3 linked regions of the Oryctolagus cuniculus genome follow. The main gene of each other region encodes a partner of the protein of the gene in region 2 in a complex. Links are inferred from orthologs where the notes say so. Each region holds a gene or a part of one and is shown on either strand. Other genes may lie near its edges.

Region 1 (4,156 bases), on a different chromosome or scaffold from region 2:
TGGGCATCTGGGGAGTGAACCAACCAATGGAAGATACCTCTGACTGTCTGTCTGTCTGTCTCTTCCTCTCCCCTGCCCCGCCCCCATCACCCTGTCTTTCGAATCAATAAGTATTTTTTAGAAGAGGGTCTGATGGCCCATGTGGGAGACCCGGATGGAGCTCCTGGCTCCTGGCTTCACATCTGCGAAGCTCCAGCCATTGTGGCCATCTTGGGAGTGAACTGGCGGATGGAAGACCTCTCTCTCTCTCTCTCTCTCTCTCTCTCTCTCTCTTTCTGCCTCTCTGTAACTTCGCCTTTCAAATAAAATAAATAAATCTTTGGAAAAAAAAATAAAAGCTCCTGTGTTCCGTGTCCCCAGGTACCAAGACCAGAGCCTGGCACACAACAGGTGCGCGTGATGCTTGTGGTGTGGACTTGGGGGCGGGGGCTGTGGCCTTGGCATGTCAGGAGCGTGTGGCAGGTTGTTGACGTCCAGCTGCCCCTGGCATGGCCTTGGCGTGGGGGGTGCGGTGTGGGTGCAGCGTTACCCCCGTGGTACAAGATGAGACTCGGGGACAGCGCTCCGCGGGGGCGCTTGTGGCCAGGGACCTGCTAATAGAAACACTCGGTGGCTCAGGTGAGCACAGGTGCATGGAGGGGGCAAGAGCCAAGATGTCTGCTCCCCCAGGTCCTTAGGAGGAGCCGGACCTGGGCTGCTGGACCTGCTACAGAGTAATGCTCCTGCCTGAGCCACTGCCCGTGCCGGGCGCTGCGCTGGGGACACTGCAGGGACACCGTGCCGCCTGCTTTTCACAACACCCCCCATGAACCCATTTCACAGACACAGCAGTGGAGGCCCGAGAGGTCAAAGGATTTGACTGAGGCACGACTGTTGGTGTCTGAAATGAGGGGGCTGCTTGCTATGTCAGCATGGGTGGCGGTCTTGCCTCAAGCCCCAAAGATGACCTCGGATACAGAGACTTGGAGACCGGGCCCCAGGGCAGGTGTGGGGGGGTGCAGTGGGGGCAGCGGTGGAGGAAAGCTGGTCTCTCTGGCCAGGACCCCCCCACACACACACCCGGAATAACGCAGGCTGCCCCTCGAGGTGGAAACAATGACATAGTCAGCTCCCAATACCAAGCCCCTGACATCACGAGGGAGGGGGGTGGCCGCGGCGGGGGGGGGGGGGAGGCGCCCCGCCCCGCCCCCTTGCCAGCCCCTGCGGCCAATGGGACGGCCTTGGAAGAGACCCGGGCCGCCTCCGGAGCTTCAAAAACCTGTGAGGAGCGGAGAGGGTGCAGACGGAGCCTCAGCTGCCGCCGCCCCCGCTCCTCGGCGTCCAGGCTGCGCCCAGCCAGAGCCCACCCGCTGCCATGTCCTCTGCTCACTTCAACCGAGGGCCCGCCTACGGGCTGTCGGCCGAGGTCAAGAACAAGGTAGGGCTGCAGGGCCTCCCTGGCCTGGCCCACGTGCCCTGCGTCCCCCCACCCCCCCGCCTGCCCCATGTGATCCGGAACCTGAGAGGGGAAGGGGCAGAGGCTTGGGGTAGGGGTGGGGGCTGCCTCTCTCCTCCTTGTCAGCACCCCAGAACCCTCAGCTGTTATCAGGAGGAGCACAGCGGGGGGCCCACAGTCACCCCGAAACAGAGGTGTGCGTCCCACCGTGGATGGGAGGCCTGTGTGAAACCTGGGTGCCCCGATGGGGTTGGAAGGGGGAGGCCTGTTGATTTTTCCACACCCCCCCCCAGTTGGACCAAGAAATTGGGGAGCACTGGAGAGGCCAGGCTCCCAGCGAGGCCACCTGAGGGGAGAGGGACACGGCTGGGGGTGGGGGGCGGAGGGCGGAGGGCTCCCAAGTGCAGAGGTGAGAACACGCTGTGATGCCACCACTGTCATGCTAGGGATGGGTACACGGAGCCTCTGAGGATGAACAAACAGCTAGCGGCCAAGGTCGGGCAGGTGCACTGCTAGAGCCGGAGTCTCCAGGGCAGAGACCCCGAATTCCCCACCCCGCTGCAATCGTCCCCGCCCCCCAGCCCCATTTCACAGAGAGGAACACTGAGGGTCAGGGTGGCTCTTCCCCAGGGTCCCGCAGCGAGGAACCCGGGAGCTGGGATTGGTACCTAGGTCGGTGGGTCTCGTTGGGGCTGGCGGAGGGGGCGGATGCTTGGGCTGCAGACAGATCCCAGCGCCACCCCCCTCCTCCCCCCCTCCCAGTGCCGGCCCCAGAGCCTCGCGGAGCCGCCAAGCCATATAAGGCGGCCTTGGGAGTCCGGCCACGCTATATAAGGGCCGGTTTGCTTTATAAAGCTGGGCTGGTGGGGAGGGGGGCGGCAGGGCCGGGGCCAGGTGAGGGGGCCGCTCCCTCCCCCGGCTCCCCGTCCAGCCTGGAGAAGGGGCAGCTGGATGCCCCCTGTCCCCAGAGCAGAACGTTCTGGATAAACGGGAGGTGGAGACAGAGATGCCGGGAGCTGGAGGCTCGGATGGAGGGGCGGGCGGGGCGCGGGATGAGACGGGGACAGGGATGCAGGGGCACCGGCTGGCACCCAGACCTGCCCCACCCTCAGGGGATGCCAGGAAGCTGGAGTTAAGGCGGGAGAGGGGGGCCTACAGGGACAGAGATGCTGGAGCCCCACCCCCAGCGTGATGGAGACGGGGGGGGGGGTGGGGGGGAGACTGACGCAGCTGGGGGAGAGAGAGCCAGCCAGACGGACGGACAGACTGACGGATGCCCAGTGGGTCAACAGCCAAAGGCAAGAAGATGCCCCCACCCCCCTCGCCCGGGACGCAGTCCCAGGGGCCAGGATCTTGGTGGGGGTGGTGGGGGACAGTGAGAGACAGCCAGCCAGAGATGTAAGACAGAGCAGTCCCCTGTCAACCGGCGGCACCAGGCACCTCCCGCGCTCCCCTCCTCCCCATCCGTCTGCTGTGCCCCCTCTTCCCACCAGGGGGAGCGAAAAGGGGCAGGGCCAGGGGAAAGCTAAACCCCAAGTTTGGCCTGGAGGGGGAACCAGGAGGCCAGGCGCCGCCTCCTCGCCCCCCCTCCAACCCAGCTCCGAGGACCTGGCTCTGGGCGCCTGCCCCCTTTTGTCTCTCCTCCGGTGCCAAACCTCAGAATGCCCGGAATGGCCCCCTGGGCAGGTGCCACCCCAGCCCACCCGCCCCCCTCCCTGGGCGTGGGGGCAGAATCGCCTTAGTTGGTCAGGAAAAGCCGGGGCTGAGGGAGGCTTGGGTTGGACACCCAGAGCCAAGGCCTCCACTCCCCCCGCCGCCCGCCCTGTGTCCCCCACCCCCAGCTGGCCCAGAAGTACGACCACCAGCGGGAGCAGGAGCTGCGGGAGTGGATCGAGGGCGTGACGGGCCGCCGCATCGGGAACAACTTCATGGACGGCCTCAAAGACGGCATCATCCTCTGCGAGTGAGTGGGGGGCCCTCGTGGCCCAGCCCCTGCCTGCCTTGTGCTGTCCCCAACCCTCCACAAGTGACTGCGCCTGGAGCTGAGCCAGTCGCTTTCTATCCAGTGTGAGAGCGTTCTTCGGGGAGTCGAAGGATCATTGTGCCCGTTTAACAGGCCAGGCAGACTGAGGCTGGGTCAGCTGACACATTGCCTCGCTATTCCAGTGGGAACAGCTGCAGACTTAGCCGCTGTGCTGCCTGGGGCCTATCCCCCCGACGGCCTCCAGAGACCCAAGAAAGGGAGGTCACCGCGAAAACGCGCGGGGTCACCAGTGGGCCCTCATGACTTTGCGGCTCCCCTGAGCCCAGCCAGGCCCGATCTGCACAGGGCAGGGTGACCATGAGGGCCAGAGCGTGTCCTTGGGAAGCTTACGGAAGGCAGGGGCTGTGCGTCTTGGTCCGTCCCCGTTCACCGGGAATGAGGACCAAGGAGGACACATTGGTGACTTGGGCCTGGGGGGCTGTGCAGGTCTCAGACACACAGCCCCCGCCCCTAAGTCCACACCACAAGCATCAAGCATCACGCGCACCTGTTGTGTGCCAGGCTCTGGTCTTGGTACCTGGGGACACTGAACACAGGAGCTTTTTTTTTTTTTTTTCAAAGATTTATTTATTTTATTTCAAAGGCGAAGTTACAGAGAGGCAGAGAGAGAGAGAGAGGGAGAGAGAGGTCTTCCATCCGCCAGTTCACTCCCAAGATGGCCACAATGGCTAGAGCTG
Region 2 (3,646 bases):
GCTCTCCCTTCAGGGGTTAAGTTCAGAGGCATGTGACACTGCCAAGGGTAGAGAGCATGCTAAAGAGACGACTGTGTGGTCTGGACGGTGAGTTGGAGACAGTTCTCCTGCAAAGGGTATAACAGGCTGGCGACAGCCCAGGGCCTGGAGGGAACCTGTTTCCACCACTAAGGTGAGGGGCAAGAGGAGTGTGCGAGTGTGTGCTTGTGCGTGCACTTCCAAGGATGTGTCTTCCAGGTACGGAGGATGCCGATGGGGGGTGCAGAAGCAAGGCACGTCCTCAACAAAGCAGGGAGAGCAGGCTCACTGCCTCACCAAACAGTGAACTGCAGCGAACAGGTTTTTGGCAGATTCCAGCATCAATTCTCAAAAACAAGCAACAATTTACCACAATACTCTTTTTCTTTTTTCCCCCCAAAACCTTCTATTTCAGGTATACAAACTTCATGCATTTCACAAACATAACTTGAGGAACACGGTCATTCTTCATCTCACTGTTATACAAGGGGTGGACCTGGTCACCCCACTTCTAGGAAACACTTGCATCCACTCACAGAGCATGTGCTGGAGCTCACTGTTCACCGTGCAACGGTGGGGGACAGGAATCAGCCTAAAGGCCCACCGGCAGTGCACTAAGCACGGGAGCCGCCAGCATTAAGAGCACCGACGGGAAGCTCCACATCCATTCCTGTGTCCCAGCATAACCCGCTCCAGGGCCAAGTAAAGAAAAGCAAAGAACACAAGAGTGTCCACCACACGCTCCCATCCAAAGGCACAGAAGAGGACTGACAGATGCAGTCCAGAGCAGCACAGCTCTCTGTGCAGAGAAGCTCCTGTCACTGAAAACTTGCTTTCACTGAAACCTTTGGAAAAAGGACACACTCCTGTATTCTTGGCACAATTAAAGTATCTGTAACTGACAACTGAGTTGAACACCCAACACATCATCAAATAAACATCCCTTCCCCCCACAACTTAACCTAAGTCCCTGCACTTAACAGCCATCATCAGGTCCAGGCCGAAGTGGGAGATGGAGCGTGTGACTCTTCCTAACGGCCACAGGAGCCAGAGGGCTTCCCAGGCACGTCTAGCTTGCTGCAGCTCCCATGGCAAGACGGCTGGTCGGGCCTGCGCACACTAGGGTTGGGGAGGAACACTCAGGGGAGGAGCAGAAGAGGAAGGACCCTCCGAGACTGACGTTGACAGTATCGCTCCCAACGCCTGACTGCCTCACGGCCCCACCACACCCCTCGCTGGTTGAGACCATCTACCTGCCTGATGACACTTGGCCACTGCGGCCACCCAGAACCAACAACAAAATGAGCACAAGGTATCTGGAGCAGTCAGTCCGTCAAAGATCTGAGCACCCGTTTGCATGACACACTGGAAGTAGCCACACAGCCCTGAGCAACAAGGACGTCATGAGTCGAGTCCGTCACCGTGTGCGCATCGTGTCCCTGACCCAGCCCTCCCCCAGGTTGTGCTACAACCGGCAACGCAGCAGAGTGCTGCCACCAGAACTTCCCATTGCCGAGGTTTTGTCAACCTCACCTAGCTGACGCACTTGCTTACTTGGCCCTCCGTCACCCATCCAACTTTAATCCGAGAACCCAGATGCCAAACTGTGGCAGATCACCAGACACACGTGCACACGTTCCCGCACACGTTCCCGCGTTCCCATGCATACTAAGCAAATACACAAGGGGTCTCCACCAAGTTCATGGCAATGTGTATTACTGAAAAACTATGCACGGACGTCAAAACATTTTTTATCAAAATGAACCTATATTTAAACTAAGTTTTCTGTGAACTTTCTGAAGTCCCCTTGCACACAGAGCAGGTGGGGGAGACTCAGGGTCCCTCTCTAGCCCTGTGGAGACAGTGGGACAATGATTGGAGGGAGGGGTGAAGAGGAGGGGAAGTGGGAGGGGGTGGGGGAAGGCCTGATTGCCCCGCCCATCTCACCTGCAGGTCTCGGTTGTGGTTTTCACACAGCAGCTGCAGGAAGCGGAGGATGGGCTGCATGATGGTGATGACAGCGCTCATCTCCAGCTCGTCCTTGGTCTTGTCGGCCGTGGCCTGTGCGCCCTCGCCCGGCTGATAGTGGTCGTCTGGGTCAGCCTCCCTCCTGAACGTGGAGAAGGCCTTCCTGGTGGCAGCGGACGCCTCCAAGAGCTGATCCCGCACCTCCTCCGTGATCTGGGTTGAGGGCTCCTTGGCTGCAAGGCAAGTGTGGGACAGCAGGTGCAGCTGTGTCCTTAGGACGGTCAGCAACCCGAGACCCCATGCTCACTACAGACCCGTGAAGTTAGGGCCTCCCTCAGTCCCTGGACAGCACTAACACTGTGCGTCGGACCTGGACTCCTGGCTCCCAGTTTTAACACTGATCTTAGCCTGCACACAAGTCCTGTCATCCTCACAACACTAAGGCTCTGGGCCTCAGCTTCCTCGCCTGCGCAATGGGACAAGTGAATTCTGCCTAGACAAAGTCCCTGTGAGGCTCCAAAGCCTGCTCATCACAACAATAACTGCTGTTACAGTATCACCACTGATTAACCCTTTCCCAGGTGCCACGGCACCGTGACCCAGAACTTGGTGTGTAGTATTTCACCCAATTGTCAGACTAGCCCCAGAAGCTAATCATGGCCTGAGGGTGAGCAGAGAAGACTGGCTGGGTTCCAACACCAGCTCCCCTGGGCCCTGAGCAAGTGCATCCCCATCTGTGAGCCTCACCTGGCTCAGCTATGCAGTGGGGTAACAGTAAGGGGCGTCTCACAGCAGGCACCTAGGGCATGCAGACACCCTCTTCCCTCGTCTTCCTTCTTGTCACTCCACTCTAGACCAGGGGTGATGTCCCCCAACCCCAGCCAGGGCACAGCTGCACTGCATGCTGACAACCTGGGCTGGGGAACGAGGCCACGTGTGCTGCACAGGACACATCTGGCAACACGGCAGCCTCCAGGTGTCACTGGTGCTATGGCAGAGAAGCCGAGTCCCCAACTGGGCCAGTGGGGTTCAGGTTCCCAGATGTCAATCAACACACTTTTGGCCTTCTCACTCCAGCCCCCTGGGCCTGGCCACACCCTTGGCCTTGGCTGACTGGACTCCCAGGGAGACTACAGACAGGAAGCTGTGACAACTCCCAAATATCTCACATGGTACAGGGAGGTCACCTGACAGGGGCCAGCTTCCTCTGACACGAAATGGGAGCCGCAGGACCAGACTCTGGGTGGACCCTCAAGCTTGGTCCAGAAGAAGGTGCCATGGCTCTGCAGCACAGGGCCTCAGTGAGAATCCCACCAAGCCAGGGAGGTACTCCTCTCCTTGGGGCCGGGGTGAGAAGCAGCGTGGGCATCTGGAAGCCGCAGAAGAGCGCTCACCTTTCTTCCGAGACGGGGCATCCCTGTCCACCTCGTCGTCTTTCTTCTTGTTCCCCAGGTCACTGGTGTTCACCGTCACAGTCGCCTTGATTTCCTGCTGGGCCACTTTCATCCTGTCGTAAAAGACCTTGAAGAACTTTTCCGACTTCTTATCTTCAGTCAACCGGCAGAAAAAAGAATGCTGGGAGGAAACCAGAGAATCTCAGCACGGAGAGCAAGGCCAGGCACCAAGTCCCACTCACGGCCCCAAAAGCACAAAGAGAACC
Region 3 (3,430 bases), on a different chromosome or scaffold from region 2:
CTGCAATTAAATAGAAAATACTTTATCACATGAAAACATTTGTGTAACTGCTTTTTATCAATACAAATATGGTGTGTGTTGTAATGACAAGGGTTTAGATGGAGTGAAATGACTTTACCTCTCTCTTCTTCTAGATGGTTTGAAGGCTTTAACTGGGAAGGTTTAAGAAAAGGCACCTTGACACCTCCTATAATACCAAGTGTAAGTAGATGGCCCAACTTTTAATTGTGGGAGATATTTGTTGGCATGCTTTACTGGTCAGTAAAGATCTCTTCATGGTTTTTTTAAGTTTTATCCTATGATCAGATTAAATGAACTACTGCAGAAGAGCTACATTAAAATCATGATATATCCTAAAAACCAAGCAACTGGGGATAGTTATTGTATAGGTATTTCATTTTTTTTTTTAGCTATTTCTTTTACTTCAAATTTCTCATCTCAGTAAAAGTTAACTTTTAGTATGGGAAATGTTAGACACATAAGGATGTAGACCAATGAGCATGATTATTCTGCAGCAGCTGGTTTCAGCAGCCACTCTTGCTGTCCAGTGCTGTTTCATTCACGTTCCCACGTGGTTCTTCCCATCCTTCTCCCTTAAACTGGACGCAGTCCAGGCACAACTGTGTCCTCTCATCCTTCCACCGGGCTCTGAGAGATGCTCTTTTCTTACTACCTTGGGATTTTTTGTCACGCATAGTTTTGAATTGATTGCATTTACAATTTGTAAGCAGTACCACATCTGTTTAATAAAATCTGAGGCATCCTGACGTGTAGAGGGCTGTTCTGTGGTCCTGAGACTTGTATTTATAAAAGGCCTCTCTCGAGACTAACTCAAGACTCTTCATTGTACTGAAAAATTCTGCCATTTCCAAGATGTATTTTTGTGCCAATATTGTTTCTTCATAAACAAAGCAAAACTGCTGTTACTATGGCTCACATTACAGATGTTAATTGCATGCTTGTAATTCTGCTTTTAGAACAACAGTAAGAAGCTAGAAGGGTAAATATTCCACCTGTTTTATCCTACCATTAATACAGCAGGAGTCTCCTTCAACAGTAACATTAAATGGGCTCCACTGATGCTCTCCAGAATAGACTTTCCCCAGTCCATTCATGGGAGTTTTGCTGAGGTTGAGAACAGGATTTTTATTATACTTAGTATCGATAAAGGTAGAAACTCCCTAAGACGGCCTACAGACTCTAGGTAATGGGGCTCCCGCCTGCTTCTCCAGCCTCACCGCATTCTACTTTGCTCATTCCCCCTCTTCTGCAGCAGTCAAGTGGGCCGCTAAAGCATGGGTCTCGCTCCCATCTAAGGACCTCAGAATGTACTATTCCTTCTTTATCCAACACATTGATTCTTAGGTTTAGTCTCCAACAGAGACTAAACACGATCACACTTAGACTCTCACGGCATTGTGTGTGTGTGTTTTTTTTTTTTTTCACAGCACTAGCTCAAGTTTATCATCATGTAGATTATTACGATTCTTTTTAACCGTAACATTTATTACTACTGGAATATAAACCTCAAGAGGCTAAGGACCATGTCTATTTTTACTTACCACCATCACCCCTAATGCAAAGTACAGTGTCTGCTCTGATGTGGTAGACACTCAAAAAAATCATCCCTGGAAAAGGATTGAATAAAGAAGCTTTCTGCAATTCCAGCTTGGAACCCAGCTTTAAAAAGCAGAACACTTTTGAGCGTTCCCTCTCTCTCGTTCGCAGGTTGCATCACCCACAGACACTAGCAACTTTGACAGCTTCCCTGAGGACAATGATGAACCACCACCTGACGACAACTCAGGCTGGGACATAGACTTCTAATGCGTTTCTCTTACCTGCTTCTGCCTTGCTGAAGACAGCTTTTGCTGAGACACAGCTGCCAGCAAACCTGAGGGACAGAGAGAAGATTTGTGCTCGGGGTCACCATGATGCCTTTGATCGATGCTGCTCCAGTAACTCCAGTGGCATTAGGACTTCTTGCTTAGATGACAGTAGTGCCCTTTACATGTTTTCTGTTTGAATCTAAAATAGCAGTTGACATGGTGGTCCTGAAGCAAAGCCTTTCACCAGGAAAGAGAGATTTTCTATTGTTGCAATGATCTTGCTTTGCTCTGATTATATTCTGAAAGACTGTAGGAAACACTTCAATCTAGTCAGAGGCTGTACCTTGCTAGAACTGTCAAGAGGAGGAAGAGTAATAGATTGGGTACGACAGATTCCCATGGTACAGAAACGGGGATCTTCTCCTCCTTCAACTGATGGTTGTGGGGTCTGTTCCTGCAAGCTGGTGTATATACCGTACCAGAGAGGACCACACATCTGTTGGTCGCAGAGTTCATGTCAAACCAGTGCTAGAAGTTTCATGATTTTATTTCCCAGCAGTGCTGATGACAAGACTGAATGTTACCTTTTCTTTCTGACAGAGTTAAAAAATTGATGAAAAAAAGCACAACTGCTATGGGTTACGCTGAGACCTCTCATAGCGGGTATATATGCGTTTTTACAGAGGATGGAAAAAGATGCATGATATTTGTTTCTTTTTAATAAATTGGCATGACAGAGTGGTTAAAAAAAGCAATTCATGAAACCATTTCATATTTTTTAAAGTACCATGCTTAAAGAGGGTCCTGGAAATAAATGACTAGCAGCCAATTGGTTTTATTTATTACCTAACAAACCCTCAAACTGAGGCTTAAAATATTCCCTTTTATAAAAATATACCCGTGGGATGGGGATAGGGTAGGGTGGGGAGGGATTAAGACCCATCCAAAAAAATAAAAAAAAAAACGATATAGGTGCTATGTATATCTTTCATCTGTAATGTCAGTGTCTACACAGACAACACAAATTCTAATCATTACATGCGTAGCCAGAGACTCAAGAACTTTCACTAAATTTGTTAAACCAACTTCTGTCAGATTTCACGTATACAACGTATCTAGGGTTGAGACAGAGAGATAGGTGATTACAAAACTGAACTAGCTTCTTGTCTTAGGCCTGAACCAAAAAATAAAAATAAAATAGAAAGCACAAAGTCAGAGTTATTAAGATGTACCAGACCAGGGTTCTTATTTATTAAGGTCACGGTACAAGACAAGAACCTGGCTGAGCTCATGCACCTGTCACAGTAGGATGGGAATAGAAAATTTGTCAAAAATAAGTTTTAGCTGAAGTGAACAGAAATATTACAATTCTGAAATCTCATACTCACTAGACAAGACTAGATTTGAAATTAGCAAACTTCCTTGCTGTTTTCATCTGGCATAGCGTCTGCAAGTAAAGCTCAGTTCTCTGTCAGGAGCCCAGTTGACCACTGGCAGCTTTCATTAGCGGCTGAGCCACTTGGAAGCTTTTCCTGGACAAATAGCATTAGATGTATGCAGACAAACGTATAGCCTTCCAAGCTGTCATCCTGGTTTGAAAT

Evidence for each region.
Region 1: ITPR1 (region 2) and CNN1 share a complex: the UniProt entries of both Homo sapiens proteins name them as parts of the cGMP kinase signaling complex. The link is inferred for Oryctolagus cuniculus from reciprocal best matches to the Homo sapiens genes ITPR1 and CNN1.
Region 3: ITPR1 (region 2) and PRKG1 share a complex: the UniProt entries of both Homo sapiens proteins name them as parts of the cGMP kinase signaling complex. The link is inferred for Oryctolagus cuniculus from reciprocal best matches to the Homo sapiens genes ITPR1 and PRKG1.

The regions. Positions count from the first base shown.
Region 1 is NC_091447.1:66,349,588-66,353,743, reverse strand, and holds the start of CNN1 (calponin-1), read left to right. Parts: upstream 1-1,259; 5' UTR 1,260-1,354; coding exon 1,355-1,417; intron 1,418-3,276; coding exon 3,277-3,398; intron 3,399-4,156. UniProt on the Homo sapiens protein: Thin filament-associated protein that is implicated in the regulation and modulation of smooth muscle contraction. It is capable of binding to actin, calmodulin and tropomyosin. The interaction of calponin with actin inhibits the actomyosin Mg-ATPase activity.
Region 2 is NC_091441.1:120,982,555-120,986,200, forward strand, and holds part of ITPR1 (inositol 1,4,5-trisphosphate-gated calcium channel ITPR1), read right to left. Parts: intron 3,562-3,646; coding exon 3,381-3,561; intron 2,220-3,380; coding exon 1,966-2,219; intron 1-1,965. UniProt on the Homo sapiens protein: Inositol 1,4,5-trisphosphate-gated calcium channel that, upon inositol 1,4,5-trisphosphate binding, mediates calcium release from the endoplasmic reticulum (ER).
Region 3 is NC_091446.1:45,335,585-45,339,014, forward strand, and holds part of PRKG1 (cGMP-dependent protein kinase 1), read left to right. Parts: intron 1-134; coding exon 135-201; intron 202-1,728; coding exon 1,729-1,827; 3' UTR 1,828-3,430. UniProt on the Homo sapiens protein: Serine/threonine protein kinase that acts as a key mediator of the nitric oxide (NO)/cGMP signaling pathway. GMP binding activates PRKG1, which phosphorylates serines and threonines on many cellular proteins.